2 linked regions of the Oreochromis niloticus genome follow. The protein of the gene in region 1 binds, or shares a complex with, the protein of each later gene. Links are inferred from orthologs where the notes say so. Each region holds a gene or a part of one and is shown in the gene's direction. Other genes may lie near its edges. The genes, in order: camlg and get1.

Region 1 (4,137 bases):
TTTTGTCAACAAAGAATAAAATGTTGTTAGCCTATGTCCCCGCCTCAGCGATCGATCCCTCTGGTATCTCCCCTGGAATTTTATGTGAATGCTTAGATCCAATCTTCCAAACAGCTCATTATATAGAAGTACTTTCTCTAATCTTTACTCTTCAAAACTCAGTTTGTCAACCACAATTTACTTCATTTAATTTTGTTTTATCAATTAAATTAATTAAATCATAAATGTTAAAAATCAAACTTTCTCTGAGTATTTGCTTAGTCATTCTGACCAAGCACTACAGACCTCAGACAAGCTCTAGGCTGTGTGCCATATTTAGATTCCCTGCTGGTACAATCAACCTCAGCACAAAAGCGCGCACACTCACCAAATCACAGTAAAAGGTCAGGAGATTAAATATTAAATCAGTTTCATTACACAAATTGATTTCTCATTCATCATATTACTTAGACATATACTTTGATTATAACTTTGATACAAACGAAAAACACACATTGATAAGCTCTTTACTAGAACTTTGTTTCACTGTAATCATAAAGGCTGGATGTTAAGACCTTTTATCCTGTCTCCAATGTAGTGAGAGGTTCAATCCCACGTTTCTCTACAGTGCTAATACTCTATCGTAGAATATTGATCAGTGGACATTTGTACTGATATGGCGATTCTTGTGATATGGTGATTAAAACAAAAAGTATGAAATTATCCCGTTTTTTGTTTTCTTTTTAAACATTTCTGTTTAGAATTTACTGTGAGATATTATGCTTTGCCACTCAGAAAACACTGTTTCCTTAGTGTGTTTCTTTGTACTTTTATACGCTCGTTAAATGCTAATATTTTTTTTACATTTTTATGCACAGTTTCATGAAGGCGTATTAGAGCCACTGAAATGCATAAAGAGGTTGAAGATTCAAATAAACTAAGAATAAAATAAATAAAGAACGAAACGATTAAATTTACCATAAATATATATATATTTTTCATAAATATAGCGAGTTTTTTTTAAACCTTTTTCTTGTAAACTTGCCATTTGTTTTTATCCTCACCTTTCTTTTTGAAAATTTATGACCCGTTTTTGTTGTAAATTTGCCTTTTTGCAGTAAATATATATACCCATCCAGCCCCTTCATTACTATTATTTTATTATTATTGGTCGTAATAAATCATCACAAATCATTGACGTAATCTAAAAAACGTCTTTGTCACTTGCTGACATCATCACCGTGCGCCACAGTTAACGCTCGTCGCTCGTTCGTGTTAAGCGTTTAATTCAGTGGTCTGAGGCTTCTGTGTCGTGTACCGTGAGCTACTGAAGCGCTAGCTTTATGTACTGTGGGCTGAATTTGCATTAAAGGCTAATTTACTTAATTATCGACATGGAGTCCGGGGAGGCCAGCGAGGAGAAGACGGGCTCCATGTCGGCGGCGCAGAAGAGAGCGGAGATCCGGAGGAAAAGGCTGCTCATGAATTCAGAGGACAGGATGAACAGGATCGTGGGAATCACCAAAAACGAGCCTGAAAATAACGGTAATCGGTAACAAACGATCCTCTGAATTTCTCCTGGGCGTGTCTTTCCTATTGAAACACGTTGTCGTGACAGAGACCCGCCTCATCCTGCTGCTGCAGTCAGGACGTTAGTGCTGTCTTTTAGGACCATAACTTACTATGTAAATAATCGGGCTCACTACAGATATATTAACTAGAAGAGGAAAATGGCAGCAGCTTGGGATTCAAATCATGCTAAATGCTGTTAGCATTAGCAGGTGCGGATCAGAGGGTGGCTCACAGGCTGCTCAGCTCCCTTAAACAGAATAATTAATACACAACAATACAGCAGTGTAGATAGAAGGTACCTCAGCCAACCTGTCCTATTGCACACAGGCTTTAAGCCACCTGCAGAGAAGCTGCAGTAGTCAGTACATAAGTAAACAAAAAATACATGCCAAGCATATCTCTCGTAACAAATATCTAGTGATTTGGAACCAGAAAGCACAGGAGTGAGTGACAAGGTAAACGCTGCAGTTGGTTTTTGGCTGTGACTTTTATATATCCTTTATTTATCAGGGTAAAAAGTGTAATTGGCATGCAGAATAGAGAGATATAGCCAAAAGGTTAGCTGAAATTGCAACAAATAATTATTGAGATATTTTAAGTGGCCCAAAATGACTGGATTTATTATAATGTAGGTACAATAAGCAAAGATATTATACATTGAAAATGCATAGAAAAATCAGAAGTGGCAGACAAGCACTCTATGGCACAACACCAGCATTACTGTCTATGATCAGCTCCTCACAGTACAGATGTCATTACCTTTCTTTGGCAACACATCATAGTTATCATGTTTCAAAAAGTGACCATCATCAGCAGTCACTGTTCTCTTCTTCAGTGTGGCCATATCTACTGAGCCCCAGGCTCTCCTCCTTCATCATGAGTGCCCTTGCTGAAGTTATCCTACTCTAAATATCCAAAATCAATCTTCCCAGACTTGAATGTGTTGAAATCCTCAATTCTGTGGAACATACTATGAGTTTTGACAAGTCCTGATTGTTTTTGCTCAGACCTCGCTGTTCTCACTCACTCCTGTGCTCTTGAACACTGTGAGGCACGGGAAATGGCTGTTTAAAAAATTATGCTGACATTAACATCCCAGTTTAACTTCAACAACACAGACAAGCTGGAAGTCATCAGAGTGTCTTCACTCCATCAAACCCAGCAAAAAGAAGCTTACTGGAAACTTACTGGTACTACAATCTGTTATCCATATTATGCTGTCTCTGAACTGAAGTAAAACCATCATCCCCTGTACAAAATCTAAACTGCTTGCAATTTGTTTATAAAGATCATTAGTTAATTTGTTAAATCCTTTTGAATTAAAGCTAAAACTCTGCAGTTACATCACACCTGGATTTGTTTGTTTTTTTTGGGGGGGGTGGGGACTTCTGCATAGCTGACTAATCATTTTAGCACTAGCTAATGTCATATTACTGATTATTGTCTTCTCATTGTCAGGAGCGTCACGGCGTCCCGCAGAACCCCGGTTCCATCTGCCTCTAGAGCCATGGTCCACTGCCTCATCTTCTCCTAGACCGTCTCCAGGGATTGGCAGTCACTCCCACAGCTCCACCCCGGAGAGGAGAGGCTCACCCCTGCCAGAGCTCTCCAGTGAGCCACCTGGAGGATCCTCGGAAGATGATATCGGAGGAGTCCGGCGGAGACCGAGGGGCGAGCGGCCGTCAGATGATGTCAGTGGCTCTCCTCGTCCAGGCTTTCTCTCTGCATCCTACTTGTCTCGTTTTGATGATGCCATGAAGCTTCGGGGTCAGCTGGCCAATGAAAAGCCGGCCGAGGACGGAGGGTCAGACTCAGAGGAGTTTGATCCCTTCAGGGTCTTCAGGCTCATCGGCAGCGTCCTCCTTGCTGTTTTTGTCAGGGTTTTTGTCTGCAAGTATCTGGTGAGCCTGTAGCTTTTAACAGACTTGTTAGCGCACTAGTAAGGAGTTCATTTTTACATTTTATGCCAGTATCAGTACCAAATATGTATTTATTTGTTAATGCTACATTTATCTTGTTTTATTTTAGTCAATATTTGCTCCATTTCTGACACTTGAACTGGCCTACATGGGGTTGTCCAAATACTTTCCAAAGGTGAGTTTTTACTTTTTAAGACTCTCATCAGTCTGCATGCACACATTGTGTAACAGCTGTGGACAGCACTACAAATAATATTTTACTTTTGTTTTTCCTCTGTATAAATGGAAAATCAAATACAATGACCTATTGCGGTTTCGCCGATGTAGTTGTGCTGTTTCTGACAGCCCAGTCTTTTTAGCCGCAATCTTCTCAACCAACCAACGCCAAGTTCATACAAAGTTCAATATTAAAATGGACATGAGGTCCTGGAGCACGCCTATGAATTCACAGCCTTAATTCTGCTACACTGCTGTGTCTTCAGAGAGGACTAACCAGTCAGAGTGGACTAACCAGTTATAGCTAACCAAGATCATGTTTACACTTCTCAATGAATTATTGGTTAAACAGGATTTCAAATCTACTGGACATTGTATCCAGGGGATGGAAGTTGCCACACCCATCACCCCCCCTTTTTTTAAAAAAAAAGATAAAAAACTATTTGTTAAT
Region 2 (3,600 bases), on another chromosome or scaffold:
GAGCTGACTCGAAGGATCTGGCGGGTGCGAGTTTATTTCCCACAAAGCAACAGCAGCTCCGTGGACACAAGAAATAAGGAGTGGACTCACTCCGCCTGCTGTCACTGTTTATATCACCAGCGTGACTAAACTGGAAAAAAAAAAAAAAATAAAAAAAAAATAATAAGGTCATCCTCCATTACTAATAGAGCTCCGCTTGACAGCAAAACGGCCAGATGTGTCGCTGTGCTGTCGAGGATACATCAGCTGCCATTAACGAGCCAAACCAGAGAGGGGGGGGGGGAAAGGGACTGCACACCTCAGGAGTGACGCGCACCAGCCTTCCAGTGCGCGCACACTCGCCTGAGGTCAAAATCTCCGCCAAATTTGGCCGCAAATGCGACTAAAAAACCCGACACGTCCCTGAAAGTGCAGCTGGTACCTGAAACAGCACGCGTGTAACCCAGAGCACAAGTAAATAAATAAATAAGGAGGCAATTACGAAAGAAATTTCCCCGAAATGCCAACCTGTGCGCCTCGATGGTGATTACACCCCTTTGTTTCGGCGCACAGTTGGTGACTATTAAAACTCAGCCGGGCACACGGTTTACAAAACAGAAGCTTTAACTGGACTGGGGGGGAGAGAGCGAAAAAAGCAGTGCTAAGTAAAAAGGCGCCACTTCCCTGTATCAGCGGAGTGAGACACGACAGACCTGAGCGCAGGCAAAGGTGGACTCCACGGCACGCACATGGACACGCCGTAGCGTGTTGCATTGCATTGCTCCTGCATACGTGTATTAACACCACAAAACAACTGCTACAGTTTCTTAAAACGCTATTTCTGCATCATGCCGACCCAAGCGTAAAGCACACATTTTCTTTCCACTTACTTTCTTCCTTCCCATTGTTGCTTAGGTTGCACGGCAGGAATTTTAAAAAAAACAGGAACACTGCCTTTCTTAAAACAGTTACACAAACAAAAGGAGGAGTTGTTGTTGTTTTGTCAGCCCAGCCACCTCTGCCTACACCTCCACCAGCTGCAGTCTGTAACTTAACATAAACGTCCGAGCAGTACCAGAACTAGCTCAAACCGGATTGGATCCCCCTCTCGGTATATTTTATCCCTTATCCTACCAACCTACCAGGAAGAGAGAGCCCCCGCCCACTGCTTCCTGTGATTGGCTTTGAGGATGAGGCAGCATATTTTTGAAACACAACATCTCTACCTGTGTGGGCAGGACAGTGTGCCAATCAGTCAATCCAGGCCTTATCTAACTTTATAACCGCTTGGCTGGCCGCTCACCGGGTGTATTAGTTGTGTGTGTGCGTGTAGGGTTTAAATAATGTATGGCAGATGGTGAGCTTGAGATATAGTTTACATAAAGAAAGAAGATTATTAAAAAAATAATAGTGCCTGCATTTTTCTCCCTTTCCCATCCAGTCCTTTATTATAGAGGACGCCATATATATATGCACGTTACATTATTTCACTACTGCAGTGTTCAAAGACAGTCGTAATTACTAACAGCATGTCCCGTCTTTAGTGGGATAATTATTAAAGTCAGTGCACTGAGCAGTCCAGCCGCTCAACAGCTGCAACAAGGAGGAGGCTGACTGAGTGGAGGAGAAAGGAAACAAACATGGCGGCCGGCTATGCATGGTTCCTGGTGCTTGGCTCGGTTTTTCTCTGCAATCTTATGAAAATCCTTCTACCGACCATATCTTCCTTCGTGAGTAGGAGTTATTGTTTGCATATATGGTAGTTGTTAAAGTTGTTTGAATGCCGGTGTATTATTATCTGTGTCCTCGTCGGACACACGGTGGATTGTTGTTGACTTGCTTAGCCGTCTGTCAAGCTAACTTATAGCTGTTGTACCTCCTCAGTTATAGCTGAGCTACAACCAGAGGGTGGGGTTAACCGAGAATCCGGTAGTTGCTGCATTTAACTGGGATTCTTTTTCCTCCTTTATCGCCAAAGGTCCTGCTTTAATGTTAAGAAACTGTGTTTACAGCTTAGCTATACGGCTAAAGATTGTTTGTAGCTCGAAAGGTTGCCTCATGGAAATCTTAAGTGTTAAACTGACATTCATAGGTACTGATTAGACTGCCTAATGGGGACTAGTACTGTAATTATAAACATTTCAGTCAGGCCCAGGCTGCTCAGTAATAGTCTTTTCTTTGCCCTTCTTCAAGCTCTCAAAGATGGTGCAGAAAGATGCTGAGCAGGAGAGTGAGATGAGGGCTGAAATCCAAGAGATGAAGAAGGAGCAGTCCTCCATTAGCATGATGGATGAGTTTGCTAGATATGCCAGACTGGAGCGCAAAATCAACAAGACAACAGACAAGCTGAAAACACATGGTGAGATGTAAAAGTGCCTACTGACATTCAGAGGATAGCTGGTGTGACAGGAGCCTCAAAATGAAGTTAACTGCATCAGAGTGATGAGCTCTAAAAAGTTAAAACTAATTGCTTTTTCTTTATGGAACACAGGAGAAAATATGTAGTAGGTATTCTTAAAGGGCATATATTATGTCTTCCACAGATGTGAATGTCTGTTAATGTAGATTTACATGTTAAAAATTATCAATCAGAAGACATATTTGGGGGTTTTTAGAGGTAAGTGACTGTTTTTGGCCCCACAGCCTCAGGATTAGCATCCACTTCTGTCACACCAACCCTCTGCATGTGTTCTTTCACTGAATCCATCAGTCTTCTCTGTGGTCTTCCACTTTTCATCCTGCCTGGCAACTCCATATTAAACATCATTTCATCCAGTATATCCACCCAGCTTCCTGTGCACATGTCTAAAACCTTGTCTAAACCATGTTAGCTTGCCTCTAACCATATCACCAGACTGCAGACCTGTCAATCTTGGTCACTCCCATCTTCAGTTCTGCCACCACCAGCTTGAGCTCCCGTCTTTTTGTCAGCACCACTGGCTCCAAACAATACATCATAGCAGATCTTACTCCCATCTTATGAACCTTCCCTTTCACTCTTGTTGCTATCCTTCTGTCACAAATCACCCCTGACACTTGTCTCCATCCACTCCAACCTGCATGCCCTCTACTCTTCACCTCTCTTGTTCATGCTCTCTTGTTTTGGTTTGTTGACCCAGGCAATCTGGTAAAGAAACACTGTCTGTTCTGTGTGATAACTTACTTAGCAATACAAAGGCTACTAAAGACTGTTTCCCTGCTGACATATTCCAAAACCTGCACATTGTCAATTTTAAATTATTGTACAATCAGCATTACACCCAGGCTCTTCTCTATGTACTTAAGTCATTATTTTGATTTTATTCTGACCGCACTGTCTTGTGATTCTCAGTGTTGACTCTAATCCTTACCTGATTCTTGAATAAAAAGTAATAGTGCTGTCTGTTTACACTTAAGCAAAAGATTTACTTTGTGTAATGTTGGTATTAACAAAGCCCATATAAAGAATGGACTAATACTTTCCCTGTTACCCTGTGACTGGTTAAAAAAAGTAATTTATCCTGGTTTCATCCCTTGACATGGGATGGTCAAATAATAAAGTGAAACAAAATGACAGTTCCATCTGATTTAAAGGAACTGGCAGTATCACTACAAAATAAAGAAAAATTAATATGTTGAGAC

What was found.
Region 2: camlg (region 1) and get1 share a complex: the UniProt entries of both Homo sapiens proteins name them as parts of the golgi to ER traffic (GET) complex. The link is inferred for Oreochromis niloticus from reciprocal best matches to the Homo sapiens genes CAMLG and GET1.

Annotation. Positions count from the first base shown.
Region 1 is NC_031975.2:23,197,760-23,201,896, forward strand, and holds the start of camlg (guided entry of tail-anchored proteins factor CAMLG), read left to right. Parts: upstream 1-1,193; 5' UTR 1,194-1,373; coding exon 1,374-1,524; intron 1,525-3,009; coding exon 3,010-3,452; intron 3,453-3,579; coding exon 3,580-3,645; intron 3,646-4,137. UniProt on the Homo sapiens protein: Required for the post-translational delivery of tail-anchored (TA) proteins to the endoplasmic reticulum.
Region 2 is NC_031979.2:14,818,518-14,822,117, reverse strand, and holds the start of get1 (guided entry of tail-anchored proteins factor 1), read left to right. Parts: upstream 1-1,231; 5' UTR 1,232-1,619; coding exon 1,620-1,709; intron 1,710-2,172; coding exon 2,173-2,338; intron 2,339-3,600. Other genes in the region: hmgn1a (non-histone chromosomal protein HMG-14A-like), read right to left, coding at 870-884. UniProt on the Homo sapiens protein: Required for the post-translational delivery of tail-anchored (TA) proteins to the endoplasmic reticulum (ER).